7 linked regions of the Sus scrofa genome follow. The protein of the gene in region 3 interacts with the protein of the main gene of each other region in a pairwise test. Links are inferred from orthologs where the notes say so. Each region holds a gene or a part of one and is shown on either strand. Other genes may lie near its edges.

Region 1 (4,090 bases), on a different chromosome or scaffold from region 3:
AGACCACCCAAGAGGGACAGGGCAAGGCCTCGACAAATGGTGCTGGGAACACTGGACACCCACGTGCCAGAGAAACAAGACCGATCCTCATCTCACATGCCACACACACACACTAACTCCCAATGAATTAAAGACCTAACCACGGGACGGGAAGCGGTCAAGCCCTGAAAGAAACGAAGGGCTACAGCGTGACCTTGGAATGTGCCGTGATTCCCTGAATGGGACACCAAGAGCACAGACAACAAAAGCTAGCACAGGCCTTCCTGCCCTGGCTCAGCGGAAATGAATCCAGCTGATACCCACGAGGATGCGGGTTCGATGCCTGGTCTTGCTCAGTGGGTTAGGGATCCCGTGTTGCCGTGAGCTGTGGTGTAGGTGGCAGACGCAGCTCCAATCCCCTTTGCTGTAGCTGTGGTGCAGGCGGGCAGCTGTGGCTCAGGTTCCACTCCTAGCCTGGGAACTTTCAAATGCCACACGTGTGGCCCCAAAGAGGAAAAAGAAAAAAAAATAGGCAAACGGGACTATGTCAAAGTTAAAACCTGTGAAGCAAAGGAAACAACCAATATAGTAGAAGATGCAACTAACAAAATGAGAGAATGTATTTGCAAATCATACACCTGGTAAGACCTTAACCTCCCGAAAACGCAGAGAACGCCTAAATCTCGATAAGGACAAAAGCCGATTCAAACGTGGGCAAAGTGGTTGACGAGACATTTCTCCAGGGACATAAAAATGACCCACAAACACCTGACTCGGATCCACACCCCTGACCATCAGTGAGACAGCATCGGACCGGTTCCGGGAGCGAGCGGCCCAGGGTGGGTCAGGCCCAGGGACCCCTCCCCTGACCGCGCCCCCGCCCCCGGCCCCGCCCCCGCCCCGAACAGCCCCCCCACCAACCCGCTCGGCGCCCGCGCGGGCTGCCGGCTCCGCGCCCCCCGCAACTCCGCCGGCGGGGCGGGGCCGGGCCTGGGAGCGGGGCCGCGCGCGCGCACGCCGGCCGCGCGGGGCGGGGCGACAGGCGCGCACGTCGGCCGCGCGGGGCGGGGCCGGGCCGTGACGCGCGGGCGGCGCGGTGGTGCGGGTGCGGGCGAGCTGGAGGCTCAGGCCGGCGGGCGGGGCGGCCCGAGGGAGCCGCGCCCGCCGCCCCCGGCAGGCCGCCACCGCGCGCCCCCGGCCGCCGCGGCCCCATGCTGCTGCCCCTGGCCTGCCTGCACGGCCGGGTGGCGCAGTGCCTCACCGCGCTCCTGGTGCTCGCAGAGCCGCCACCCAGGCCCCGCCGCGTCGCGAGGGTGCACGGCGCGCGGCCCCCGCGCGCGGAGGCCGCCCTGCCCGCGAAGATGGCCGCGGAGCTCTACGCGCCCGCCGGCGCCGCGGCCGCCACCGCCACCGCCACGGACATCGCCAACAGCAACGCCGCCGCCGCCGCCGCCGCGGGCAGGAAGGGCCGGCCCAGCGCCCCCCTGCCCGCCCCGCCTCCGCCTGCGCCCGAGCCGCCCGCGCCGGACAACAACAACTTGGAGAGCCCGAACTGGCAGTCCTTCCATCCGACCCTGCGCGAGAGGTGAGGCCGCGCCCGCCCCGCCCCGGCCCTGCCCGCGCCCCCGCCCCGCGCCGCGCCCCCAGCCCCGAGCCGTGTGCCTCTGCCCTTTGCAGGAACGCGCTGATGTTCAACAACGAGCTCATGGCCGACGTGCACTTCGTCGTGGGGCCCCCGGGCGCGGCCCGCAGGGTGCCTGCCCACAAGGTTGGTAGAGGCTCGGCCCTTTGAGCTCCCAGAGGCGGCCGGTCCTCTAGCCCGGGCGTGGCAGCCGCCGGGGGCGCGCAGGGCCCCGGGCTCAGGGCGCGCTCTCTCGTCCACAGTACGTGCTGGCCGTGGGGAGCTCTGTCTTCTATGCCATGTTTTACGGGGACCTGGCCGAAGTCAAGTCCGAGATCCACATCCCTGACGTGGAGCCCGCGGCCTTTCTGATCCTGCTGAAGTAAGCCGGCTCAGCTAGAGGGGGAGGCCTGAGGTCCACGAGGCCGGGGGCGGGCGGGGGGGCGGGGGGCTCCTCTCCCAGACCCGGTTGCCGGGCGGCGTGTCCCTCGCAGCCTGTGACCTGGCGCCGCCTCCTGCCTAGGTACATGTACAGTGACGAGATCGACCTGGAAGCCGACACGGTGCTGGCCACTCTCTACGCCGCCAAGAAGTACATTGTCCCCGCGCTAGCCAAGGCCTGTGTCAACTTTCTGGAGACGAGCCTGGAAGCCAAAAACGCCTGCGTCCTGCTGTCCCAGAGCCGGCTGTTCGAGGAGCCCGAGCTGACCCAGCGCTGCTGGGAGGTCATCGACGCGCAGGCCGAGATGGCGCTCAGGTCGGAGGGCTTCTGCGAAATCGACTGGCAAACGCTGGAGATCATCGTGATGCGGGAGGCGCTCAACGCCAAGGAGGCCGTGGTCTTCGAGGCGGTGCTGAGCTGGGCCGAGGCCGAGTGCAAGAGGCAGGGCCTGCCCGCCACCCCCCGCAACAAGAGGCACGTCCTGGGGCCGGCGCTGTACCTGGTGCGGATCCCGACCATGACCCTGGAGGAGTTCGCCAACGGCGCCGCCCAGTCGGACATCCTGACGCTGGAGGAGACCCACAACATCTTCCTGTGGTACACGGCGGCCAACAAGCCCCTCCTCGAGTTCCCCCTGACCAAGAGGAAAGGCCTGGCCCCCCAGAGGTGCCACCGCTTCCAGTCCTCCGCCTACCGCAGCAACCAGTGGCGCTACCGGGGGCGCTGCGACAGCATCCAGTTTGCCGTGGACAGGAGGGTGTTCATCGCGGGGCTGGGCCTGTACGGCTCCAGCTCGGGGAAGGCCGAGTACAGCGTGAAGATCGAGCTCAAGCGCCTGGGGGTGGTCCTGGCGCAGAACCTGACCAAGTTCGTCTCCGACGGCTCCAGCAGCACCTTCCCCGTCTGGTTCGAGCACCCCGTGCAGGTGGAGCAGGACACCTTCTACACGGCCAGCGCCGTCCTGGACGGCAGCGAGCTCAGCTACTTCGGGCAGGAGGGCATGACGGAGGTGCAGTGCGGGAAGGTGGCCTTCCAGTTCCAGTGCTCCTCGGACAGCACCAACGGCACGGGGGTGCAGGGCGGGCAGATCCCCGAGCTCATCTTCTACGCCTGAGGCGCCGCGCCGCTTGCGGCCGCCTCGCCGATGCCTGACGGCCCCGCGCCCCGGCCTCTCGGGAGCGGCTGTGGCCGAAGGCGTGACACAGACCCGCTCCTACACGGCCGGAGCCTGGGTCTCTGGATTCTGGCCACTGGGCCCGCTGGCATCTCCTGTACGCTGGGGTGCACGTCTCAGGTGGAGGGCAGGTTTGGGGGGCACGAGGCAGGCCCAGTTCCCTCCCAGTGGCGCCTGTTTTGAGGGCTCTGCCACCCCTCCCAGCCTCTTGGATTCTCCTCTAGGTGGTTCTAGGCTTCTGATCCTCTCTTCAAATCCAAAATGGAAACATCACTTAAAGTACGTCAGCTATTTAAGTGGATTTTCATAATAAAGTTTTAACAAAACGAGAGGCACACGCAGCTAACGACCGTGAGTCTCGAAGCGGGGCGCCCGCCGTCTCCCAGGACTGACATGCACAGAGGACACCTCGGCCCTGACGGCGCTTAGCGGGGAGTCCCCAGAGGCCCACCTGTTCGCGAACGCCTGCGAACGCGTCCTAAACTATCACTAGCCACTTGAAGTCCTCCTGTGGGGGTGGGGGTGGGGGTGGGGGTTCTCTGCCAGGGGGGCCCCAGCCCCTGGGAACAAACCCAGCTCGGGCTCACTGGCTCCTGCGTGGGCGTGCTGCCCGTCCTTCACTGCAAACGCCTCAGCAGTGGCTGTTTTGGGGGAGCCTCAGCGTGTGCCCCAGAGGGAGGCCCTGTGGCCCTCAGCGCGGGGCTGTAGCCCCTCGGGAGCAGACCACCCCAGCCAGTGTCTCCCTGCCGCTCTCCTGCTGGCTGTGTCTTCTCGCATCACCCAGTGCCGTGGGTGTTCTGGGACTGCACCCGGGCCCCACGTCCTGCCTCCTTGACGTGCAGAGACAGGCTTCTAGACAACAGGCGGGGGAGGG
Region 2 (4,164 bases), on a different chromosome or scaffold from region 3:
TTTAGGGCAGCCTTCCTTGAACTCCTATCCCAGACTGGGTAAGGCACCCTTGGTATTCACCCATCATCCTTCTTAATTTCTTGTCTGCAGCCCTAGCCCCATTAAAATTTTTTTTCCTTAAGTAACATATGTACATTTGAAATGAATAAAGACCCAAGAGAAATCGCTGTAATTCCACCAGCAACTTGTTTTCCTATTTTAGTAAAGTTCCTTTAATTTTTTGTTGTAAAGCTTTTAGAAGTACAGCTTACAGTTGGACATTTGTGAATATCCTGAAAAGGGTCTTGGGTAGGTCCCCTACCCACGTGTTGAAGGGCCTGATTAAGAATCGTGGACCCTGGGGGCAGCAGATTGGGTCTGCCTAGCTCCAGTTCTGCCACCCACGAATTCGCACCCACTCAGTGCCAGGGACACTGCTGCAAGCCACACACAGTGCCCCAGCCACTCCACGTTCTCTGGCATCTGTCCTTCATGTTCCGCGCCTTCAGCTTCTCTCCAAGGACAACCCAGGGGGTGGCTCCCTGTAGAACCGCCTGAGCCTGAAGCTCCTGGGGCTTGATCGGCCATTTCAAAATGGCCTCACAGCATCCTTTTCAGATTCAAGCAGCTTCTTTCCTCCTTTTCTAACCCCCTTGGTCTCTGAGTTGTAAGCTACCGGCCGATTTTCTCAGAACCCTGGTGGCTCACGACTCCCTCGGGAAGGCAGTCTTTCGGGGAAACACGACCCGCCCAGCCTTTGTTGTAGCAACTGCACGAGGAGCCACGTACACTTTCGGCCAAAGCCGGACCGGGCCACCAGAGCTGGAGGAGGCCCGACCCCACCTGCTTTGGGCCCCTTCCTAGGTTTTGAGGAATTGAAAGAGGGCCCTTTCCCCGCCCGACCTCTGCCTCACTCCGGGCCCACGTTCACTCTCCGGGTTCCCTATTTGCATTACCAGGCACCTCGGAGTGTGGCAACTGCAGCTCTACCGCTCTGATTTTTAACATGACCTTGGCCATAAGTCTCGGGGTGCCCGCTTGGGCTCTTGCAAGAGCCTCGACGCCCCAGGGAAGGTTTCCCGTCGGTTGCAAAACCCAGGCTGTCAGAGCCCCGAGAGTCATAGAGTCACAGCCCCGAGCTGGACTTCCTGCCCTTGCTCAGGTCGTCTCTCTCATCCCACGAAACGCACCTCAAGGCGTCTGCGCGGGACGGGGTTCCAAGACTCCCAGGCTTCGCCACCCCACCCCTTCCCTCCCCTCCCCCACCATCCCAGTGCGCCTCCCCCCACCCCCGCCCGCACCCACCGGAAGGGGCGGGGCTCCGCGCGGCGGGCAGGCGGCGTGATTGGCCGCGGCGGGGCGGACGGCCGATGCCGATATAAGAGCCGGGCCAGCGCTACCTGCGCCACAGTCTTCGCGGAGAGTCGCTGCGGTTTCCTGCTTCAACAGTGCTTGGACGGAACCCGGCGCTCGTCACCCGCCCCGGCCGGCCGCTCAGAGCCAGCCCTCGCCACCTCTTCACAGCGCCCTCGGACCGCCCCAAGGCCACCGCCACCGCTCCCGCGCCGCTGCCGCCACCACCGCTCCTCAGCCTCCCGCCATGACGACCTCGTGCTCCTCGCAGGTGCGCCAGAACTACCACCAGGACTCGGAGGCGGCCATCAACCGCCAGATCAACCTGGAGCTCTATGCCTCCTACGTCTACCTGTCCATGGTAAGCGCAGGCTTGGCCGGCGGGGGGCGGGCTCGGCCTCGGAGGCGGCGGGGCGGGGTGTGGCTAGCGGGCGGGGCCTCCCGCCTCCCGCCTCTGCGCGGTTCTGGAAAATGGAGGCTGCTCCGGGTCCCCCAGGACTTCGCAGAAATTCCGAGGAGTCGGCCCTTTCCGACTGACCCCTGGGAGTGCCCCTTTGTAGGCCGACTGCCTCTGCCCGCCCACCCCCCTCCCCCCTCCCCCTTTTTTTTCCTTGCCGCGCTTGCTGCCAGTACCATCCTGCAGTTAGGAAGGTGGATTTTCGCATTTCCATTCCGTCCTCTGCATCCGATCACGTGATCCTGGGCGGAGGCGAAGAGGTCCTGCTCCCATCCCCCAGAATACGGCGGAGCCTGCTGGGTAATGGTGTCGAATAGCAGCCCTGGGGGCTGGTGTGAAGTGCTTTATCTCCAGTGGGCTGACCACCCGAACAGCCGTCTCCACCCGTTTGCTCTGCTTATCGCCAAGTCCCACTTGAATTGAAGCACATCTCTAGAAATCTCTCCTTCCGCCACAGTTGTCTTAGTCACCCGTCCTTGCGCCTGACTACCTCCTCCTTTATTCTTTTTGTCTAAAGGTTGGGGCCTAATCGAACCCTTCGTTCTTGGATAAAGTCCATCCACAGTTACAGGGCCGGCATTTTTTCCATAGAGGGGTCAGTTTTCCAAATTCCTGGTTTTAGGCGGTGTGGTAGGAGTTGTAGAATTGTCTGACCATTACGTAAACCATCCAAGAATAGGCAGGTACCAGATGGGTTTGGAACTGGCCTGGATTTCTATGACTGCCCTTCCATTTCAGGAACACCCAGCAAGGGTCTAAAAGAACCCAGTTTTGCTTTCTACTGTTATGCCTTTATATACATTGTTGCCCACAGCCGTCTACTTCCCTAGTGGGGTACTTTTAGAAATGCATCGGTCTGGCTGTAAGCTGGCAAGTTCATGTTTTAACATGGATTAATCAAGGAGGGAGAAGGAGGAAGCACTAATAGTGCGGAGTAAATACTCCACTTTCCTCTCTTCGACCAGATGTGACACTGGCTGTAAGAATTTAACTTTGGAGTTCCTGCTGTGGCGCGATGGGGTTGGCGGTGTGTCTGGAGCGTTGGGACTTAGGTTCCATCCCTGGCCTGGCACAGTGGTTTTAGGGATCCAGCACTGCCACAACTCTCATGAGGGTCACAGCTGTGGCTCCCATCTGATCTCTGGCCCGGGAACTTCCTCAGACCAGAGGCGGCCAAAAAAGAAAAAAGAACTTTGCTCTAACACAGATCCTGAGGATGTTCCATGGTGGTGGCAAGTCCTGTGATATTCTAAATGCTCCTTGTGAACATTTTTCATTTTTGCCCTTAGGAGTGAGAACTAATGACTGTTTAGTTCGATGCAGCAACGCAGCCTGCTCTGATCTCCTTAGACCCAGACCCCTTCTTGCTGGGCTTTGAGAAAGGAAGCCTAGGCTCACAGACTCCTGTTTTCACTTTTCAGTCATACTATTTTGACCGCGATGATGTGGCTTTGAAGAACTTTGCCAAATACTTTCTTCATCAATCTCATGAGGAGAGGGAACATGCTGAGAAACTGATGAAGCTGCAGAACCAACGAGGTGGCCGAATCTTCCTTCAGGATATCAAGGTGAACAAAAGATTCCAGGGTTGTCGTGCCTGATGTGTCTGGCGCTCCTCAGGTGGCAGAAGGCACAGACCTGAGCAGTTGCTCTTATCAAGACGCAGATACGTTGGGCTTGTGGCTTGTGGCTTTTGTGCTGTTGTGGGCCTATCGTCTAAAGTGGGCAGATGGTAACGGGCAAGGATAGTAAAATAGAAACTGTTGTCGGGGAAGCTTGGATATTCCTTTCGCCAAGCACAGTGCTTACACGTTAGGTGCTTGCTGACTTGGGTTTAAAGGTAGAGGCTGCAGGTGCATTGACTTGGCTCCTTCTCGTTCAGAAACCGGAGCGCGATGACTGGGAGAATGGGCTGACTGCCATGGAATGTGCGCTGCACTTGGAAAAAAACGTGAATCAGTCCCTGCTGGAACTGCACAAACTGGCCACTGACAAAAATGACCCCCACGTGAGTATTGAGGCAACCTGGGAGGAGGAGGAGGAAGTCATTTACCTCGGGGCCTGGGAAGGCTCGCCAGTAACTCTCTTCCCCGTTGTCTTTTCCAGTTGTGTGACTTCATTGAGACGCATTACCTGGATGAGCAGGTGAAAGCCATCAAAGAATTGGGTGACCACATTACCAACTTGCACAGGATGGGGGCCCCCGAGTATGGCATGGCCGAGTATCTCTTTGACAAGCACACCCTGGGGAGCAGTGAGAGCTAAGCCCTAAGCTGGCCTCCCGGAGACACGGGGTGACCCCCCTGGTCACCAAAGCAGTGCATGCATGTTTCGGGTTACCGTCACCTTTTCTATAAGTCCTACCAGAACATCTA
Region 3 (4,099 bases):
GGAGTATGCAGGGATCCAAGAGGTGGGAAACTCAGCGACTGGACCGGTGTTAACTTTTTGGTTTCCCCAGAAGTTCACCTTTGGACCCAGCTTTGCTTCCGTGAGTCCCTCCAGCTTCCCTAAAGCTGGGCTAGGTGGGGGTCCAGGCGAGGCGGGCGTCAAAGTTGGTTTCTTCTCTTTTTGTTCTTTCATCAGCACTTCCAGAAGAAAAGACGAGACTCCGAGGCCTTTTACGAGCCTCATTTCGTCTCACAGTCCATACAGCGGCAATCTGCAGATTCTCCTCAGAGCCTCCTCCTCCTCACAACGCCCGTCCTCAGGCCCTGGAGCTTCTGGACAAAGCCCGGCCTCCCGGCCATCATCGCCTCCGCCTCGGGGACCTCCTCCAGAAAAGACGTCGTAGAACCACCTAGATTCTACCTACTTGGTTGGCCAATAGTTCTGTAGTGGAAAGCAAACCAGCAACAATAACAATAATAATAAAACACATTTGTACAGCTCGTGGTGCTCATTTGTATCCCGTGTTAGGACTTCGCAATTGGGCGAAGTAGGCACCTGTCGGTAGAAGTAGCAGCTGGACAGCGAAAAGGAGAGCGGGCCCATAGAAGGGAATGGCAGGTACAGTCGATTAAGCCAGGGAAACTGGTACCTGGCAGGTAGGAAATCGGCGCCAGAGGGCTTGTCAATAGCGCCGCGGATGGAAAAGGTTTTATTTTCCTCTCAAGAGGCTCCCCCCATTCCGTGCATCCCTGTGCAGCCTCGGAGGGCTCAATTCCTTTGCTGCTCTGTTCCGTACCCCCCCCCCCCCCCTTGGGAAGGTGGCTCTGTCCTCCCCGCACGCGACGCGCTGGCGGTTGGCCGGCTGCGGGAAGCTTCTGATTGGCCGAGTCGCAGAAGCACCGGGTGAAAAGAGCTTCACTGGCGGCGCGCCCCCACTCGGGGCGTAGCCAACGCCGTACGGGAAAATGGCGGCCCGCATGTACCTTGAGAGGCCCCGAATGGGGGATGGAGGGGCGCAAATCCGCCCCCTGCAGGTCAGGGAGAAAGGCGCCTCAGACTATGTGGGCGGCACTGGAGGTGCTCGAGGAGGCGGGCCTACTGTCACTTCCGGCCACTGGGGAGACTGGGATCCGTACGGCAACATGGCCGCACCCAGGAGCCTGTAGGCGGAAACTCCGCCGCTTCCGGTCCGGAGTAGGGCCTGCGGTGGGAGGGGGAAGGAAGGCGGAGGGAACCATGCGAGGTTCTGAGATCCGCGGCGAGTGTCGCCTCGAGAGACCGTTTCTGAGGTGGGGCCGGGCGGTGCGGGGGGCGAAGGCGGGGCGGGAATGTCGAGGTCGAGGTACTCGGGAGTCCTGGGCGTTGAGTCTGAGGGGCAGGCTGAGGTACCTTCCTTACTATCCCTGAAGGGGTGTGGGGGGGCCGGGGGCTGAACTGGGGGAGGGGGACTTGGCGGGAAGCTCCTCCGGGGGCAGGGCCGGCCTCAGGACTAGAGTGTGAGAGCAAGCAGGAGAGACCAGTGTGGGGCCCACGGTCGCTTACAGGTCACACGGAGAGAATGGGGAGGCTCGGGTTGGTGTGAGAGAGAGGGGACTGGAGCCGAGCTATCTCCGACTGCCGCCCCGGCTGGAGGAGACCCACCGGAGGGCGGGGTAGGGAGGTGGTCTTGGCAGGAGAAAGGGGAGTGGATGTGGGGAGGACCAACCCTCGCCTCGGAGAGGCTGGGAGTTGGGGTGATCCTACAGGACGGGGCGAACCTGTGGGAGAGCGGAAGGGGGACACGGGGAGGTGGTGCCAACGAGGGTGTGGTATCTGTTCCAGGGGGTGTCGAGGAAATCTGGAGTGCAGTGTGAGAGGTGGTCCGGGGTTGAGAAGAATCAACTTGCCACCTATGAGAAATAGTGGGGAAATGCAACCGAAAGACCGGATGTCGACGTGAGGGGTGGAGCTGGGGGTGGGACTTCAGGTTTTCCGAGGGTTTGGGGCTCTCGTAGTAAAGGGACAGAAAAACACGGTACTAATGGTTGCTGAAGACAGGCAGTGAGGACACTGTTGGGCATGGCTGGGTGTTTTTGAAAACCAAGAAGACAAAAATGTGTGAGATGAAGGGATGGGGCTCTGCTGGAGGGGCTCTTTCTGAGGCCCCGTCCCCTTCCAGCAGGAATCACGAAAACCCCACCACTTCCTCCCTCCGGGGGATTTGATCCCCCATGGCCACCGCTAACAGCATCATCGTGCTGGATGATGATGACGAAGATGAAGCAGCTGCTCAGCCAGGGCCCTCCCACCCACCCCCCAACCCAGCCTCACCCAGGGCAGCCCCCATTCCAGCCTCACCCAGGGCAGAAGCCCCTGGCTCCTCCCAGCCCCATGGGGCTGGAGGAGGCAGTAGTTCGGGCGGCAAGAAATGCTACAAGTTGGAGAATGAGAAGCTGTTTAAAGAGGTGAGCTTTAGGGGAGAGGATTCTTGTACTCCAGGGAGGGGGCTGGCCGACTGGCTCTCTTGTCTTGTCTTCCCCACTAACCCCACCTCGCCTTCTTTCTCTCAACCCATCCCTTGTCCCTTTCCCCGTGAACCTTCCAGTTCCTTGAACTGTGTAGGAGGCAGACAGCAGACCACCCTGAGGTGGTCCCGTTCCTCTCTAGCCGGCAGCAGCGGGCCCACTCACTGTTTTTGGCCTCGGCGGAGTTCCACAACATCCTCTCTCGGGTCCTTTCCCGGGCTCAGAGCCGGCCCGCCAAGCTCTATGTCTACATTAACGAGCTCTGCACTGTTCTCAAGGCCAACTCGGCCAAGAAGAAGATGAACCTGGCCCCTGCTGCCACCACCTCTAGTGAGCCCTCCGGGAATGACCCCCCCACAGGCCCCTCCTCGGACCCCATAAATGCTGAGACCACTGCCTCTGAGGCCCCAAGGACCCGTGGTTCCCGGCGGCAGATCCAGCGCTTGGAGCAGCTTCTTGCGCTCTATGTGGCAGAGATCCGGCGGCTGCAGGAAAAGGAGCTGGATCTCTCAGAACTGGACGACCCGGACTCCACTTACCTGCAGGAGGCCAGACTGAAGCGTAAGCTGATCCGCCTCTTTGGGCGGCTGTGTGAGCTCAAAGAATGCTCTTCTCTGACGGGCCGGGTCATAGAGCAGCGCATCCCCTACCGGGGCACCCGCTACCCGGAGGTGAACAGGCGCATCGAGCGGCTCATCAACAAGCCAGGGCCTGATACCTTCCCTGACTATGGAGACGTACTTCGGGCTGTCGAGAAGGCAGCTGCTCGGCACAGCCTTGGCCTCCCCCGACAGCAGCTCCAGCTCATGGCTCAGGATGCCTTCCGAGATGTGGGCATCAGGTTGCAGGAACGTCGCCACCTCGATCTCATCTACAACTTCGGCTGTCACCTCACAGACGACTACAGGCCAGGTAGGCCTTAGCAGGGTCTCCCCAGTCCCTTGGTGTGTTGGCCTATGCTGGAGGAAGCTCTCTGGAGTCCCTCCTTCTAGGATTCTGGGTGAGTGCTCTGACCTATGTCTTCCCATGCAGGTGTCGATCCTGCCCTGTCAGATCCTGTCCTAGCCCGGCGCCTGCGGGAGAACCGGAGCTTGGCTATGAGCCGACTGGATGAGGTCATCTCCAAATATGCAATGATGCAAGACAAGAGTGAGGAGGGCGAGAGACAGAAGAGAAGGGCTCGGCTCCCCCAGGCCACCTCTGCCCACTCTGCAGAACCCCCCAAAGCCTCCTTGGATTCTGGCGAGGTATGGAAGGGCCACACCCTTGAGAGAGACCCTGTCCTTCCCCTGCACTGGCCAGGAGGGAGTCCTTGGGACTGATGGCGGAGTGTGCAGAAGGGATGCAAGAACCAGTCCCTCAAGGGGGCAAGGGATTCCTTAGAGAAACTCCTTTGTCCCCCGAAGGGCCCTAGTGGGATGGCCTCCCAGGAGTGCTCGACCACTTCCAAGGCTGAGACAGATGATGAGGAAGATGAGGAAAGTGATGAGGAGGAGGAGGAGGACGAGGAAGAAGAGGAGGAGGATGAGGAGGAAGACGAGGAGGCCACAGATTCCGAAGAAGAGGAGGAGGATCTGGAACAGATGCAGGAAGGT
Region 4 (4,433 bases), on a different chromosome or scaffold from region 3:
GATCGACTCCCGTCCGGCCAACTCTCGGCCATTAAGCACCGAATCCACAGCTGCTGAACAGTGAGTGCACTATTTCAAACTGCTATCTCGAGTTACCGAAAAAGAAAAAAAAAAAAAAAAAGAAAAGAAAAAAGAAATGTGTGTAAATAGAAGAGGGAAGGAGACCAACCCAGAGAACGTACAAAAATGACAAATCCGAGAAGCCGGGGCACAAACGTTTAGAGATTGTGTCTAGAGATTCATAAGCCAGGCTTTCTAGAGGCGAATGGGATAGGAGGGAGGGGGTTCAGGGCGAGGGCAGGGGGCAGAGGCCGGTCGGGGGAGGGGGTGAGCCTTATTAACAAATGTCAGGGGTGCGCGAGGGACGCAAGCTGCGGGAAGCACCCCCCGGAGCCTGGCTCCCTGCGCCGCCCTGGGGCCCCCAAAGTTGGGTGGCCCTCGATCAGCAGCCCACTCCCTTGAGCGACTGGCGCCCTCGGCCTCCCTCACCCTCTGTACACCCTTGGGCCCCGCACACCCTGGTCTCTGGCCCCCCAGGGCCCCCTGAGGGCCTTCTCGGAAGCTGGCGAGCGCAGACCCCGCTATAAACCCCAAGACACCGAAATACATCAAGTCCGCTCGGAAGAGGCCATCCCGGCTGCCAACAAACCAAGAACCGCGGCCACAGGGGCCTCTCCACCTCGCGCGGCCCGGGAGAGCCCGCAGCCAGCGCGCCGGGCAGCCGAGCCCGCCACGACGCCCAGGGCGCTCGCGGCCCTGCGGGGTTGCCCCAGAAAAGGAAGCCCAGAGCCCTCAACTCTGTAGTGGGACCAGTCTGGGAAGCGAGACCTTCCAGGGGAAAAGGGGAGGAGGGCTGAGAGCCAGCCAACGCCACCAGAAAGCTAAACAAATAACCAGCCGAAAGAGAAAGCCGAGGCGCTTCTCCAGGGCCCCGGGCTCCGCGCGCCCGCTAGTTCAACAGTCCAATGCCTGGAGGACAAGCCACCCTCACTCAGCGCAGCCCAGCCACTCGGTCCCCAGCAGCGGCAGCCAAGGGGTTAACCGGGGAAAGCCCAAGACGCCACAGAAGAGGGAAGGAAGGGAGAGAGAGGGAGAAAAGAAAGAGCCACACAGTCATCTTCCCAGGGTGAAGAAACAAACACCACCACCAAAGGGGGCGGGGGAATCAGAGCTCAAAAAAAAGTTCTTCTGATTTACCTCCCCCCCAATAAAGCCCTGCTTGGAAAGAAAAGTCTCCCCAACACCACGAAGCAACAAACTGAAAGCAAGAACATGGCGAAGTGCAAACAAATCCAGTCCACAAAAGGCAGAAAAGTTTGGAGAGTTTCGGGCTGCCAGGGCCACGAGCGGGGGAGGGGAGGCGGGGAGGGGAGGAGGCGGGGAGGGGGAGGGAGGGGAGGGGGAGGGAGGGGGCAGGGCAGGGGCCGCATGCGGGGCCAGGCGGGCGGCGAGGGCGGGCAGGCAGCGGGCGGGGGCCGGGCGCGGAGGCACTTACGGTTCGGGCGGTGGGCGAGAGCGATCCGTTGGGGAGGTAGGGGCTCGTCAGGTCGGGGATCATGATGAAGGGGTAGCCGGGATACGGTGGCCCCTTAAAGAGCCCTCCATCTTGCCTCTTGGCCGCTAACATGGCGGGACGGCGAGGGGACGGCGGCGGCCGCGCGGACCGGGAGAGAGCGAGGAGAAACTTTTTAGAAAGTGCCCCAAGTGGCCGGGCGCCCCGGCCCGGCCGGGGCACGCGGGGCGGCGGGCCCGGGGGGCAGCTCCCGGCGGCTGCGGGGCGCGCGGGACGTACTCACCTTCTTCCAAACTTTCCCGGGATTTATCTCGGAAACTTTCGGAGCGAGGCGGAGGCCGTCTTTCCGCCTTCCCGGAGGGGTGGAGGTGGGGAGGGCGAGGGGCAAACGGCACGCAGAGGGGGGAGAAGGGGGAGAAAAAGAATCAGTGGGGTGGGGGTTTGGGGGGAGAGAAAAACAGGGTTACAACTTTTTGCAATGGTGGCACCACACGCACACGCCGCCCGCCCGGCCCCGCGGCGCCCTACCGCCGCCCCCAGCCCCGATTTCTCCCCTGTAAGCAACCTTTGCCAAGCCCAGGAAATAGATTCAGAACCCCACCAGCCCGAGGGGCTTTTCCTACCTCGGAATCGGAGGAGCTGTTTTGATTCGTTTCTGATTCATTGACTAGAGACGATTTGACATCAGCTAAATCCCTCTCTGCCGAGGAGTTTTCGGAGCTCTTCTCCTCCTGCTCGCCCTCGTCTTTGAAGGAAATCAGTTCGTCGTTGGCGCCTAGGTCATCTCCTCCACCGCCGTTCAGCTGCGGCATTTTTTTCACCCACCAGCAGCAATTTTGGAAGAAAAATGAAGGAGGAAGAAAAGCCAAAAAAAAAAAAAAAACCCAAAAAGTTTTACCCCCCCAAAAAAAATATTGCAAGAAAAAGACGAGTCCAAGGTGAACTTTTTTTCTGCTTTGGGGTCTTTTTCTCCTGGGGAGGGGAAAGAGGGAGGAGGGGAGGGGAAGGGGGGGGAGATCTTCTGCACGCGTGAGTTTGGGTTTCTTTTTTCTCTCGTTCCCAAGGATCCGATCAATGTGCAAAAAAATAATAAATAAAAAAAGGGGGGTAAAAAAAAAAACACCACCAACAACAACAAGAAGTCAGATATAAAGAGCAAAGGGGGGGGAAGCCGAAGATACAGGAGGAGCTCGTGCCGCTCGGATTTGAGTGAGTTGAAGTTAGACTGAGAGCTTTTCAGTTCAAAGGCGGCGCTGATTGACAGATAGAAAAAGGGGGATCGAAATCCGGAGGAACGGAGTAGTCTGGGAGCGGAGATTATTGACAGGGCGAGAGGAACACACTCGCTTAATGAGATGCCGAGGGGCGGGGCCGGCCGGGTGACGTCTGCATAAATAAACAGCCGGAGTGGGCGGGGCGGGGGCGGCTAACAATGATCCTTTCGGGCGCCGGGAGAGGGAGGAGGGAGAGGAGGAGGAGGAGAGGGGCGGGGGAGGAGAGGGGCAGAGAGACAGAGGGAGGAGTGTGCAGGGGGAGAGGCCTGCGCTGAGAGTGTGCGAGCCCGGGAGTCTGGGCGAGGGAACGGGGACTCGCTCCGGGAGGGGGCCGGCTTCAGAAAGACAATGCGGGGTAGGAGAGGAGGGGAAGAGGGTGGCGACCGAGTCAGGAATCCGAGCCGGGAAAGGCGGAAGGAAAGCCCACTTGGGGGGCGGGGATGGGGAGAGGCCCAGAAAAAGTGCACTTTGGAAACATTAGAAATAAGTCTTAAGGAAGGGGAAAAGGAGGAGAGTGTTGTGGGGAATGGGTGGGAGGGTGGGGTGCTTGGTGGTTTAGCCAGCAGTGAAATCAGCCACCCTCGGGCGGGATGTAACAGAAGTGGTCGAAAAAGAGAGATCAACCCTCCACTTTCAGAGAGCCTGGGGAAGTGGAGGGCTGGGCAAAGTTCCTGGTCATCTGCAGTGAAAGAAACTATTAACCCACGAGGTCTTCCCTCCCCTTTTTGTTTATTAATAGTGAATCATTTCATTAAATCTTGTCTCACTAGACTAAATATGCCAAAATGACTTTTTATCCAAAAAAAAAAAAAAAATTCCAACACTGTGGTGTTTGTCAGGGGCATTAAAAATATCCTTAAGGAAAAATGCATGATTCATTTCAATGTAGTGTTGTGGCTTTTTGTTTGTTTGTTTGTTTTAACTGAGTTGGAGGTGGTAGGAAATGAGTTAGGATTCAAAGTCCTTTCTGGCTTTGGAAGTGAAAAGTTTGGGCGTTAACATCACCAGGGAAAATAAAACTGAAAGTTCACCAACCTCTGGGATCAGTGGTGCTGGAGTCTTTCTGGAAGGGGGTCTGAAATGAAATTCCCGAAAGACTGACCAAATAATCAAGATGTAGATGGCTCTGGCAGGAAATTGCTAACCCAGCTGATGCTTGAAGGCCTCAGGGAGGAGATGGAAAACCTGAGGTTTGAGGCAGGTATTTGTTGATTTTTAGGCTCTCTTGGGGAAGTAGATTGATTCACTACAAATGGGAAAGAAAATTATGTTAAAGGGGAAAAGGCCTGGGTCCCAAAACGCAGTATTCCTGGAAAATGGAGCAAGAACACTGATTTTCTTGCAAATATCCAATGAGAAGTGGACAGGAATCTACCATATGAAAGAGACAAAAAGAACCAGAAAAAAAGAAATCAAAAGAAATCAGCAAATTGTCTGTGAGGAACAGTGTTGGTCTAGGGTCCATGATGTACTAAATTATTTCACCCAACCCTATAAAAAAAAAAATCTCACCCGCTTTTCAGCTGGCCATCTGTACTTCAGCTTTCCAAAAGAAAGCAAATTTACCATACAATATTTAGAGAGTTTGGGTTTTCAGCAAAACTGTTGTATAGACTAAGGTCTCAGAAAGAAGACTACCAAAAATA
Region 5 (3,332 bases), on a different chromosome or scaffold from region 3:
GTCCCTGCCTGCCCTGGGCCTCAGTTTCCTCATCTGTTACCTGAGGGTGACAGTAGCCCCCTCACAGGGGCGTTGGCAGGCTTCATGGGTCAACAGGTGTTAACGCACCGAGAATGTCACCCATTGTGCAGCCTGTGCTGGAGAAGGGCCCGCTGGTGAGTGCCTGGTGCTGGGCTGCCCAGCTGCTGGCACCGGCCAGGCTGTAGGAGGGACACCCCCGCTTGGTACTGGTGTTTGGTTGGCTTCCCACCACAGTCCTCTTAGGTTGGCATCATCCCCGTTTTACAGAAGAGAAGAGGGAGGCTCGGGGGGATGGCCAGGAGGCTTCTAAGTGGCAGGCCTGGGATTTGAGCCCAGAGCTGCCTGTATTCAGGGTGCCGTGGCTTTTCCTTGAGAAAGGCAGGTAGTTGATATTCTGGGCTCTGGGCCTTTACGCCGCTGTGGCTCACAAACCACATAGGTGAGGGGCCGGCAGGCAGGTGGAAGCAGCCCCCCGCCACGCACTGCAGCTCTGGGCTTTGAGCTGCTTTGCTTTGTGGTGTTGGCTTCAAGTTGAAAAGATGACTGGCAGGTGCCCTTGCTGGTGCACTGCAGGTGTTGTTCTTCCCCGCGGCCACTAGGGGGAGGCGGGCGGCAAGTAGACCCCGCTCTTGCGGGTTGAACCTCCCGGGCACCGGGGAAGTGTTCACAGTCTTTAACCAGTTGAAGCCGTCTTTCTAAGATCTTACCCACAGAGAGGTGGTAAGTGGACGTTCAGAGTCGTGCCTCCCGCCGCCTGGTCTGGGCTGCCCGCTCAGCTCGGGGAGGCCCAGCCCAGCTGGTTTTCTAGTTCAGCATTTCAGATGATCTTGGCCTGGTTTAACCATCAGTAAATGCGGTTAGATTGTGAAAACCTTCTGTCCTCTGACCAGGGTCCTCTTGCTTTCTATGAGAGCGTAGCTGGGAGGTGTTCCTGTGCTGTAGTCAGTTACCGTGGTGGGGAATGTGCTTCCCGGGAGGCCGGAGTCCTAAGTTGCACACTGTGAATCCACCCTGGAAGGACCGAGCATCAGCACGCGGTTTCTGAAGGTCACTAGTGCCGCAGACGTGTCCTGCTTGGGAGATAGCTTTTCTGTGAGCTCTTCCTTAGACTGTGGGAGCAGGAAGAGCAACAAGATAAAGCCGTGTCCTCAGATGGGGGGTGCGCTGCACTGGGTGGGGCGGGGGAGGTGGTCAGGGGTGGCGTGTGCGCTGCGTGCCTGCCTCTGCCTGCAGGGCCGGGATGTGGCAGGATGTCGCAGGGGACCCTTGCGGGCTTTTGACCCCCGCCCTGCCTCTGTCCTTCGTGTCCCACATCACTGAGTGACCCTGGGACAGAGGGCTGGCAGCCACCCTCAATGCCTGCCCATGTTGAGACCTTGCTGTTGGTGGCCACCGCCCCATCCAGGTCACCCTTCGCCCCTCGGGACGCGGGTTCTTTTCCGTTTCCCTCTGGCCCAGTCTGTGCCCAGGCCAGGCCCAAGGGCTGCGTGTCGTGCCGAGGGGTGAGGGTCCTCTCCAGGTGCTGCAGGAGGTTAGTGAAGGTGTCTCATGGGGACAGAACTGGATCTGCCCTGCTGTGCACTTGGGAAGGGGTGCCTTTTTTGGTGCTGCTGAGCTGGGGGAGGGGGGCGGAGAGCAGCCAGAAGGGGGCGCTGGACACTGAGGGGATATGGAGGGGCATTCCTTCCTGGTGCCTGGGGGGCCTCCTTGGTGCCACTAACACTCTAGGCCAGACAGGGGAGGTGAAGGCTCCGCGTCTTAGAGACTAGACAGTGAGCAGGAGGGACTCGTTTACAGAGGGAGGACCCCGATGACCCGGGGTTCACACACACCTTGTCTGGGGCTCGGTGCTGATGCTGAAACCCAGAGAGCCAGCTGGGCGGAGGGAGCAGCGCTGGTGCTCTTCCTGGGCGGGAGGGAGCCTATGTGCTGGTAACGGGGCTCCAGGTGGGAGAGGGAGCCCTGGGGACGGGGGTGGGGGGTGACCTGTCTTCAGGCAGAGAAGGGGGTTCAGAGGTTGCCTCTCCCTGCCCATGCTGTAGTTCAGGTGCCTCGCGCTCAAATTTATGAGCACATCCAGGTGGCGCGTTTGGGGGTGGCACCTTCTCTGCCCTTCACCCGGATCTGACGCCTGCACTTGTCACAGAAGGAAAACGTGTGTGATGGGCATTCCCAGACCTCCCCTCACTCAAGGGCCGGCGTAGCGGCATCGGGCTCGTGTGTGTGTGCGCGCGCGCGCGCACGTGTCATTTCAGTGGTTGTCGGTGTCCCCCACTCTTAAGCGGGCACAGCTGCTCTGATGCTGTCCTGTGTGCCCTGACGAGCTTGGAGTGCCTGAGTCATCTGGGATCGGCTGGCCAGGGCCTTGCCGTGGGGGCTCCGCTCGTCTGTCAGTTTCCGAGGGACAGTAGCACGCTGGGGCGGCGGAAACGGCTCCGTGGGGTGCGCGGCTGTGCCAGTAGCCCGTGAGGACGTGACCCTGTCTTGTCTTTGTTTCGAAGGTCATTACAGCTACTCAGAGAATCGCGTGGAAAAGGACGGTCTGATCCTCACCAGCCGGGGGCCCGGAACCAGCTTCGAGTTTGCTCTGGCCATTGTTGAGGCCCTGGCCGGCAAGGAGGTGGCCGACCAAGTGAAGGCCCCGCTTGTTCTGAGAGACTAGAGCCGAGCGGGCTGCCCGGAACCCCTCCCGCCGAGGGCGCTTTAAACCCAGAGGGTGGCTCTGTGCCTGCCCCCCAGGCGAGCTTGTGACCTGACAGCTGCAGATGCTCTCCCCACAGTCGTGTCCCCACATTTCAGACCCTGCTTCCCGAATAAATAGGGCATTTAGCAAACTACTGGCTGCTCCTGCTTTTACCTCCAGTTTCCATGTTCTTGTGTGAAACTAAATCATCAGTTTCATGTGCAGCTCTTATCTGTTGATAACAGCCCCTGAAATAAGTGACCCGCAAGCACGGAGGAAAAGCATAAAGCAAACATTTAAGAGGCTTGAGGCCTCCCCCCATCCGTTACCTGTCTCTCTAATGTGCTATTAAAACCCCAGCAAAGCTGGCGGTTACGGTGAATTCCGGCGCACTGATGCTGCTTTCCCACTGCGGCAGAAGTCCCCGGAGGCAATGAAAACCCTGCAGGGTTGGTCTGGCCTGCTCCCCCGCTCGCGCCACCGCACCCGCTTGCTTACCCTGCGAGCCCACAGGCTTCCCAGCCCCAGAGCCCCACATAACTGACTCCGTGGCCCAGGTGAGACACCCAGCAAGGGTCTCAGCTGGTGCTGCTGGGCTCCTCTGGTCTGGGTGCTCAGGAGGAGCAGC
Region 6 (3,671 bases), on a different chromosome or scaffold from region 3:
GGAGGCTGCAGCTTTTGTTCTGTAATTAAACAACAGCAACCCCGCACTGAAAGAACATAGCTGTTCTGGGTGGGGTTTAAGGCCAAAGGTACAGGGATGTTTCAATCTGATAAGCTGCTCAAGCAGAGTTTAATCATTTTATCTCAGCTGGGAACTGTTTTTCTGTGCAGGCATAAACTTGTTTTCCCAGCAGTCTCTGTTCCCAACCAGCTATCAAATACCCGAGGAAAAACCCAAACCAAGCCTCTGTCTTTATGTCGGAGTCTTACAGTGAAATGTAATCAGACCACTTGAGATAATGGTCAGAGGCCACCACCAGTTTCCAGGGTCCTCCGAGGACCTGCAGGCTCCGCTTAGTTCAGTGGAGAGACTGCCTCTGCTTGGTTCCCTTCATCTACGTTCCCTTCTCCTTCTTTGGGAAGTTGGCACCTGGACAGGAGTTTGGTTATATGGCTCTGCTCTCTCTGTGCATGAGTAGAGTCACCTTACCACTGTTACGTGTCTTATCTGGGCCTGAACTTGAAAAAACCATAAAACAAAACCCAGACATCTGTTGGAAGAAACGGAGGCTCCAAAATCTACCTGCCTCAAAAAGATTGTCCTGAATTTCTGAAAAGCTCTGGAACCCATCCGTTTGGATTATTGGTAGCTGATTTTGGTCCCTCCCAAGATGTCTTCAAGCCTTGAATGCCGGTGGCACGCGTGTGCATCGAGCATGAGGGCAGATGTCTTTCCAGCCCCTAGAGCTTACTCAGGCTTGTGCTTTCCAAGCTCTTAAATCCCATTTTGCAGCTACTAAAATAATAAACTCAGCCACGTCCTTTAGTGAACTCATCTCCAGACAAGGCCTCAGTCAGGGGAGACTCAGAGAGGAAGCAGCTCCGTTCGTGAACATGCAGATTTTTTAGAAGAGGAACTGACATCCCTGGGGTCCTTGTGTCCCAGGTCCTTTTAGGCCGGGCATTTTACCTGCACGCTGACCTCTTTGTCTTGTTCCTCCCTTGCCTGTTGCAGAGGATGTGAAGCCATATCAAGTTAATGGAGTCAACCCCACCTACCCGGAGTCCCGCTATACCTCGGATTACTTCATTAGTAAGTTCACCTGCCACTCGTCTTCCCTCTTCCTGCTCTGTGGGATGGGAACTTAGGAAAGGATCCCTGTCCTGAGTCATCTCAGGCACCTTCACTCCCGTGATGCCGCAGAAAATAAGACTTTCTTAAGTGCAGTGATGTGGTGATTTGTTGCATCATTCCCGAGAAGCGCAAGGCTTCGGCCTGTTGGCACGATTCATGAACCTGCAGGCGCCTGCGCACCAGGGTCTAGCCCGTATCTTCAGCGTGAAAGTCATGCAGAGAGACTAGGACTTGCCTCCAAGCTGTGATCCTGTTTGATCCTGTGCCCTGTGGTGGCCATTGGAGGTTGGAGTCAGGAATTTTGTCTTGGACCTTGTTCTTTATCCTTTTTACTAGGAGATGTGACAGCATCTCCTCTGAGATTCCCTTGTCTAGAGGATGCCCTACGGCCTCAGGTTCTGTTCCAGAATGTGAAGAAGCTTCCTCCTCTTGGTCCCTGACCCCTTGCTATGCTGCAGGGGTGGCTGGAGGAGGAAGAAATTTAGTGGAGGGCCGTGCTTGCCTAATGGCCTTGCTTTCAGAGAGCATCTTAAGCAGGTTTGTTTTCTTTTCTTTCTTTCTTTTTTTTTTTTTTTTTCTATCTTTTTAAGGGCCGCACCCACGGCATATATAGGTTCCCAGGCTAGGGGTTGAATCAGAGCTGTAGCTGCTGGCTACGCCACAGCCACAGCAACACCAGATCCTTAACTCACTGAGCAAGGCCAGGGATCGAACCTGCATTCTCAGGGATACTAGTCAGATTCGTTTCTGCCGAGCCACGCCAGGAACTCCTGTTTTCCTTCTTTTTTACTTTATTATGATCTGTATTCTAACGACAATCTTGAGCTTATTGTGTGTCAGAAACATTGGTAGCCTTTTTACATGGATGCTCTCATTGGCGCTTCATCGCAAGGCTTGAGGAAGAGTGCAACCATCCCTACTTTAGAGATGAAAAAATGAAGTCAGAAGAGGGAAGCGTCTCCTAAGGGCCATGGCTCTTAAGGAGTGGAGCAAGGTTAACAGCCCAGACCCTTTGACTTAAAATCCTAAGGTAGTCAGCTCGTCTCTCACTGTGGGGCCACTCTAAACGGGGAGGAACTGCCTGGTTTGGGGGCTCATCTCTCTTCTCTAATTGCACATGCTCCGTTCCCAGGCTATGGTATTGAGCATGCCCAGTGCGTCCCTCCTTCGGAGTTCTCCGAGCCCAGCTTCATCACCGAGTCCTACCAGACCCTCCATCCCATCAGCTCGGAGGAGCTCCTGTCCCTCAAGTATGAGAACGACTACCCCCCGGTCATCCTCCGGGACCCTCTGCAGACGGACCCCTTGCAGACCGACTACTTTGCCATCAAACAAGAAGTTGTGACCCCCGACAACATGTGCATGGGGAGGACCAGTCGTGGTAGGTCGGACTTGTGCTCTAGAAGTTTCTAACAGTGACCTAACTACATTTGTTTTTCCAGTCCCCATATTTCCCTCCCCTCACTCTCAGCCCTGGGCAGGCCTGAGTTTTTTAGCCTTTCTGTCGTAGATCGTCTAGATATGCAGCACTTGGTATCATGGAATCGTAGGCATGCATGTCTTCCATGATGACAAAGACTGTGGGCGGGTCTATGGTGGGATTGACATCCAGCAGGATGACCAATCACATTTCTTATTTGGGTCAAACATGTCAGCAAATAATAACTTGAGTTGAAGGTGGCTGTTTTTTAAGGTGTGTTCTATTTTCTTGGAGAGGGTTTTGCTTAAGGAGGACACAATCACGGAAAAATGATTCAGGGGATGGACCCTCCTAGAGAGCCTTTATTGCCTCCTTGTCCTGGGTCCCGAATATTCCTGGGTCAGACTGCTCATCTTGGCTTGGTATCTGAATGACCCGTGCTTCTCAGCTTGGGCTCTCTAGCCTCCTGTGACTTCTTTGGTTTGGGGAGATGTGAGATGGTTAACCAACGGCTTATTTGGAACCCGTCATCAGCAGTGTGGTGAAAAGTGTGTGTTTAGCTAAGGACCAGGGAAAGAGGTGGCCAGAGGCTTCCAAAAGAGGGCACTTCTGTTGACATGACTGTTTTGATGACGATAAAATATTCACTGAGAGTGAAGTAAAGGTTTCAAAATTGAGCTGGCTGGCTGACTTTATAAAAGCAAAAAAAAGTTCAGCACACTCAGGTTTTAAGATCAGGACATAAACACTCAGAGGCCCAGCCCACCTGGTGAAGTGTCAGCATTGTTTGTTTCTGAGAAAAGTCCAGCCCATTGCAAGGAGGGACTTGTTCATCCAGGAAGAACCAGCTGATTTCTAAAAAGCTGAAAAAAGATGACTGTGCTAATGGGTAAGTGGGAGAGAATTACAAACAGGAAGAGCAACAGGAGAAAACCCGATCCAGTGGACTTGGGCCACCACAGTGGGCCTGGCCAGCCTCCTGGTGATTTCTGCTCACCAGTGACCCTGTCCCCTCTTCCGGGGCCCAGAGGCCTCCTGGGCCGTACAAGTTGTCCTCTCCTTTGAGGGTTCAGTCTCCCACTCCCCCGCACCCCCAGCAGGCCTGGAGATGACCAGC
Region 7 (3,671 bases), on a different chromosome or scaffold from region 3:
TGAATGCGAACGTGAACTTGGGAAGGGCTTTGGAAACATGTAAAGTGTGACACCAGGTGAGGACACGTTGCTGAGAGTTACTGTTGCTGCCGTTAGTCTGTTTTCCTGACCTCAGCCTTCCGCCTTTGCAGTACAACAAGGAATTAACCAAAGAGCGAGACACCCTCAAGCTGGAATTATACAAGAACAAGTAGGATGGGGAGGACGGGGCGGGGTGGGGGGCCTTGGCTGGTGTGGGGCTGCCAAGTTGGGGGGGCATCCCAGTGAGCGGGGTGAGGAGGCGGGAGAGGTTTCGACGAGAGCAGAACTAGGCTCTCATGCCAGCTGTGCCGCCAACTCATGCTGCGGCCTCAGGCAACTCGTGTCCTGTCTCTGGCCTGCCGCTTGTGACTCCTGATCCCGGGGTCCCTTCCAAAGCGACTGTCCTGTGGTCCTGTGCCGAGGGTGGTGGGTTGATCACCAGAGCGGTCCTTTGCTTTTCACTCACGCCTCCCTCCCCTGCCTCCGAGCGCAGCAAAAGCAATGAGGACCTAAAGCAGCAGAAGTCGGAGCTGGAGGAGAAGCTGCGGCTCATGGCGACAGAGAAGGCAGCCATGCAGCTGGGGATGGAGGAACTTCAGAAGAAGCTGGAGATGTCGGAGCTGCTGCTGCAGCAGGTGGAGCTGGAGCCCCAGGGAGGGTGCCCCTCTGCCCCCCGCAGCAGGCCAGGGTCTCAGGGATACCTAGGGTGGCCTTGGCCAGGAACTAGAAGACTTGGATCCTTGTTCTGGTCCTGCCATGGAATCCTCCAGAGGTGGGAGAAAAATTAAGGCCTTGCCCAGACCTCCGGAATCATAATCTCAGGGATGGGTTTGCTTTTTTGTTTTTTGTTTTTTGTTTTTTGTCTTTTAGGGCTGAACTGTGGCATATGGAGGTTTCCAGGGTACGGGTCTAATCGGAGCTGTTGCCACCGGCCTACATCAGAGCCATAGCAACACAAGATCCGAGCCGTCTGCGACCTATACCACAGCTCACGGCAATGCCAGATCTTTCACCCGCTGAGCGAGGCCGGGGATTGAACCCGCAACCTCATGGTTCCTAGCCGGATTCATTTCAGCTGTGCCACGACAGGAACTCCGGGGTGGGGTTTTTGTTGTTATTGTTATTGTTTTTCGGCCAAGCCCGTGGCATGTGGAAGTTCCCAGGCCAGGGATCAAACCCGCATCACAGCAATGACGGATCCTTAACCAGCTTCGCCACATGGAACTCCTGTGTTTATTTTTTAAAACACCCTGGTCGAAAACCGTTGTTTTGTGAATGGTGGTTATAAGGCCAACTCGTGAGTCTGTTTCCTCCCTCTTGGGGTCAAAAGCCACCAGGTAGACAGGGTGCCTGAAGTCAGAGAACCTCCCCTTCAGTTTTTCTGCCCACCCGGCAACTGTCTGCCTTCATGCCGTCAGTAAGGGTGAGCTGGGGGTGTGCCGTGTGCACACAGTGACCGCGATGGAACCACGCCAGCAACCCAGTGCGTCTTCACTTTGCAGCAAAGTGAAGTGAAGTTGCAGAACCATGTTCGATACCACTCAACGACAGCACAACTGCAGTGTGCATTAATTAAACGTGTTTGCATGTGTGTGGGAAGGGTCTAGAAGAATACACACGGACTGGGGTGACTGGGGAGCTAGAGGAAGGGTTGGGAGGACCTCGAACACTTATATTTGAATCGTTGCGCATGAACATTTAGTGAAGATAAAGCCTTTGCCTGTGGTACAGATAACATGAGGACAACCCTGAGTTGTACGCCGACCTTTCGGGGCGGGGGGCTTTGCCTGGAGCAGCCTGGGCCCCCCGGGTCTCACCGCCTCCTTTTTCACCAGTTTTCTACTCAGCCTACCCCTGACAGCAGCCAGCAGTTGCAGCAGGCCCTGGAGGAGCGGGCACAGCTGGAGACCTGTGTGGGGCAGGTGAGGCTCTGCAGGGGGAGGCATCCGGAGGGAGGCTGACGGTGAGGGACCAGGAACAGGGGAGGCCCAGTGACAGCCCCTGCTCACTTCTGCACGCACTCTTGCAGCTGCAGGACTCGCTGAGGCAGCTGCAGGCAGAGAGAGACCAGTATGTGGCGAATCTGAAAGAAGACAGCACTGTTTGGCAGCATAAGATGCAGCAGATGAATGAGCAGGTGAGTCGTGACCTACGGCCCCCACCCCCCTTCGGTCCCTTGATCTTCCTGTCGCTTGCCACGCGCAGCTGGAGGTGGAAGTATGTGTTTGGAGGTGAAGAGGGCGCGGGTCACCAGGTCACTCCTTCACCCTCTCCCCTTCCTTCCATGTGGCCTCCCCCCTGTGCTTGGGCAGCTGAACAAGCTGAGGGCAGAAAAAGAGCACAGCATGAGTCAGGTGCAGGAGCTGGAGACCAGCTTGGCCGAACTGAGGAACCAGGCAGGTGAGCGGGGGCCGGGGGCGTCAGGGAGCAGGGTGGGCTCAGGGCCGGCCAAGGTGGCTCAGAATGGAGGCGTGTGGCAGGAAGGGCACTGGGGTCAAGGGAAAGGGGTCCGTACCAGGAGGTGGCAGTCCCTGAGCCTCCGTGTTCCCATCTGTACGAAAGGGGTCGAGAGCCCACTGTCACTCACCCCGAAGTTGTCTTTTTTTTTTTTTTTTTTTTTTTTGGCCACCCCTTGCGGCACATGGAGTTCCTGGGCCAGGGATCAGATCCACAGGCGCTGGATCCTAACCCACTGTGCCGGGCCAGGTGTTGAACCTGCATCCCAGTACTCCCAAGATGCCGCCGATCCCTTTGTGCCACAGCGGGAGCTCCCGAGGTTGTCTTGAGTATAAAGATGTAAAGAACTCTGTCTGAAAGTGTCTCGAGGAGTTTCCCAGTGGCACAGCAGGCTAAGGATCTGGCGTTGTCACTGCTGTGGCGTGGGTTCAGTCACTGGCCTGAGAACTTCCCGCATGTCACAGGTGTGGCTGAAAAGCAGCAACAAAAAAAGAGTCTTGAAAGATTGAACGAGGAAGCCAAGGTTTGGTGGTGAAGAAGCTGAGTTAGCAGCTGTGGACCAAGAAGAGGATTTTTTGGAGATGGCAGAGCCTAGAGGCCCTGACAGCAGGCTCCCTTTCTTATTTGTGCCCCCACCCCAAGCGCCCCCATCAGGGCCCTCGGAGACTGAACAGCGGCTGCAGGCAGAGGCTGAGCAGTTACAGAAGGAAGTGGAGAGCCTGGCCAGGCAGCTACAGGCGCAGGTGAAAGACAATGAAAACCTGAGCCTCCTGAATCAGGAGCAGGAGCAGCGGCTGATGGAGCTGGAGCGGGCGGCCGAGTGCTGGGGGGAGCAGGCGGAGGAGCGCAAGCAGATGCTGGAGAGCATGCAGAGCGACCGCACCACCATCAGCCGCGCGCTCACGCAGAACCGCAAACTCAAGGAGCAGCTGGCTGAGCTGCAGAACGGATTCGTCAGGCTGGTGAGCAGCCCTCCCCAGCCCGCCGGTCCCCCTCCCTGGCCAGGTCCTTTGGGGCGGGGGCGAGACCTTTCATCCTTCTGGGTCTTTGTTTCCCCACCTGTGAAATGGGTGGTATGGCCCTTGAGTGAAATGGGGCCCACGAAGGCCACCTGTGAGCCAGAGGGCCCTGCGCAGAGGGGGCTGGGGAGGGGCAGGGCTTACCCGCCTGCTGCCGCTGGTCCCTGAGCCGGG

What was found.
Region 1: the proteins of DAXX (region 3) and BTBD6 interact in a two-hybrid assay, tested with the Homo sapiens proteins (2 studies listed by BioGRID and IntAct). The link is inferred for Sus scrofa from reciprocal best matches to the Homo sapiens genes DAXX and BTBD6.
Region 2: the proteins of DAXX (region 3) and FTH1 interact in binary tests that used the Homo sapiens proteins (3 or more experiments, as listed by UniProt). The link is inferred for Sus scrofa from reciprocal best matches to the Homo sapiens genes DAXX and FTH1.
Region 4: the proteins of DAXX (region 3) and TCF7L2 interact in binary tests that used the Homo sapiens proteins (3 or more experiments, as listed by UniProt). The link is inferred for Sus scrofa from reciprocal best matches to the Homo sapiens genes DAXX and TCF7L2.
Region 5: the proteins of DAXX (region 3) and PARK7 interact in binary tests that used the Homo sapiens proteins (3 or more experiments, as listed by UniProt). The link is inferred for Sus scrofa from reciprocal best matches to the Homo sapiens genes DAXX and PARK7.
Region 6: the proteins of DAXX (region 3) and ETS1 interact in binary tests that used the Homo sapiens proteins (3 or more experiments, as listed by UniProt). The link is inferred for Sus scrofa from reciprocal best matches to the Homo sapiens genes DAXX and ETS1.
Region 7: the proteins of DAXX (region 3) and GOLGA2 interact in binary tests that used the Homo sapiens proteins (3 or more experiments, as listed by UniProt). The two-hybrid records come from large-scale screens. The link is inferred for Sus scrofa from reciprocal best matches to the Homo sapiens genes DAXX and GOLGA2.

The regions. Positions count from the first base shown.
Region 1 is NW_018084979.1:3,330,339-3,334,428, forward strand, and holds BTBD6 (BTB/POZ domain-containing protein 6), read left to right. Parts: upstream 1-1,413; 5' UTR 1,414-1,564; exon of another isoform or gene 1,565-1,575; intron 1,576-1,863; 5' UTR 1,864-1,899; coding exon 1,900-1,982; intron 1,983-2,123; coding exon 2,124-3,156; 3' UTR 3,157-3,551; downstream 3,552-4,090. UniProt on the Homo sapiens protein: Adapter protein for the cul3 E3 ubiquitin-protein ligase complex. Involved in late neuronal development and muscle formation.
Region 2 is NC_010444.4:9,533,762-9,537,925, forward strand, and holds the start of FTH1 (ferritin heavy chain), read left to right. Parts: upstream 1-1,289; 5' UTR 1,290-1,579; coding exon 1,580-1,693; intron 1,694-3,210; coding exon 3,211-3,357; intron 3,358-3,671; coding exon 3,672-3,797; intron 3,798-3,895; coding exon 3,896-4,054; 3' UTR 4,055-4,164. UniProt on the Homo sapiens protein: Stores iron in a soluble, non-toxic, readily available form. Important for iron homeostasis. Has ferroxidase activity. Iron is taken up in the ferrous form and deposited as ferric hydroxides after oxidation. Also plays a role in delivery of iron to cells.
Region 3 is NC_010449.5:29,678,203-29,682,301, reverse strand, and holds the start of DAXX (death domain-associated protein 6), read left to right. Parts: upstream 1-1,156; 5' UTR 1,157-1,289; intron 1,290-1,360; exon of another isoform or gene 1,361-1,385; intron 1,386-1,821; exon of another isoform or gene 1,822-2,158; 5' UTR 2,159-2,210; coding exon 2,211-2,444; intron 2,445-2,584; coding exon 2,585-3,416; intron 3,417-3,536; coding exon 3,537-3,751; intron 3,752-3,910; coding exon 3,911-4,099. UniProt on the Homo sapiens protein: Transcription corepressor known to repress transcriptional potential of several sumoylated transcription factors. Down-regulates basal and activated transcription.
Region 4 is NC_010456.5:123,342,144-123,346,576, reverse strand, and holds the start of TCF7L2 (transcription factor 7-like 2), read right to left. Parts: upstream 2,882-4,433; 5' UTR 2,326-2,881; coding exon 2,137-2,325; intron 1,864-2,136; coding exon 1,797-1,863; intron 1,621-1,796; coding exon 1,496-1,620; intron 1-1,495. UniProt on the Homo sapiens protein: Participates in the Wnt signaling pathway and modulates MYC expression by binding to its promoter in a sequence-specific manner. Acts as a repressor in the absence of CTNNB1, and as activator in its presence.
Region 5 is NC_010448.4:68,642,435-68,645,766, forward strand, and holds the end of PARK7 (protein deglycase DJ-1), read left to right. Parts: intron 1-2,522; coding exon 2,523-2,683; 3' UTR 2,684-2,713; downstream 2,714-3,332. UniProt on the Homo sapiens protein: Multifunctional protein with controversial molecular function which plays an important role in cell protection against oxidative stress and cell death acting as oxidative stress sensor and redox-sensitive chaperone and protease.
Region 6 is NC_010451.4:55,404,010-55,407,680, reverse strand, and holds part of ETS1 (protein C-ets-1), read left to right. Parts: intron 1-1,014; coding exon 1,015-1,092; intron 1,093-2,266; coding exon 2,267-2,515; intron 2,516-3,671. UniProt on the Homo sapiens protein: Transcription factor. Directly controls the expression of cytokine and chemokine genes in a wide variety of different cellular contexts. May control the differentiation, survival and proliferation of lymphoid cells.
Region 7 is NC_010443.5:268,706,645-268,710,315, reverse strand, and holds part of GOLGA2 (golgin subfamily A member 2), read left to right. Parts: intron 1-131; coding exon 132-190; intron 191-514; coding exon 515-656; intron 657-1,856; coding exon 1,857-1,943; intron 1,944-2,050; coding exon 2,051-2,158; intron 2,159-2,333; coding exon 2,334-2,421; intron 2,422-3,120; coding exon 3,121-3,440; intron 3,441-3,671. UniProt on the Homo sapiens protein: Peripheral membrane component of the cis-Golgi stack that acts as a membrane skeleton that maintains the structure of the Golgi apparatus, and as a vesicle thether that facilitates vesicle fusion to the Golgi membrane.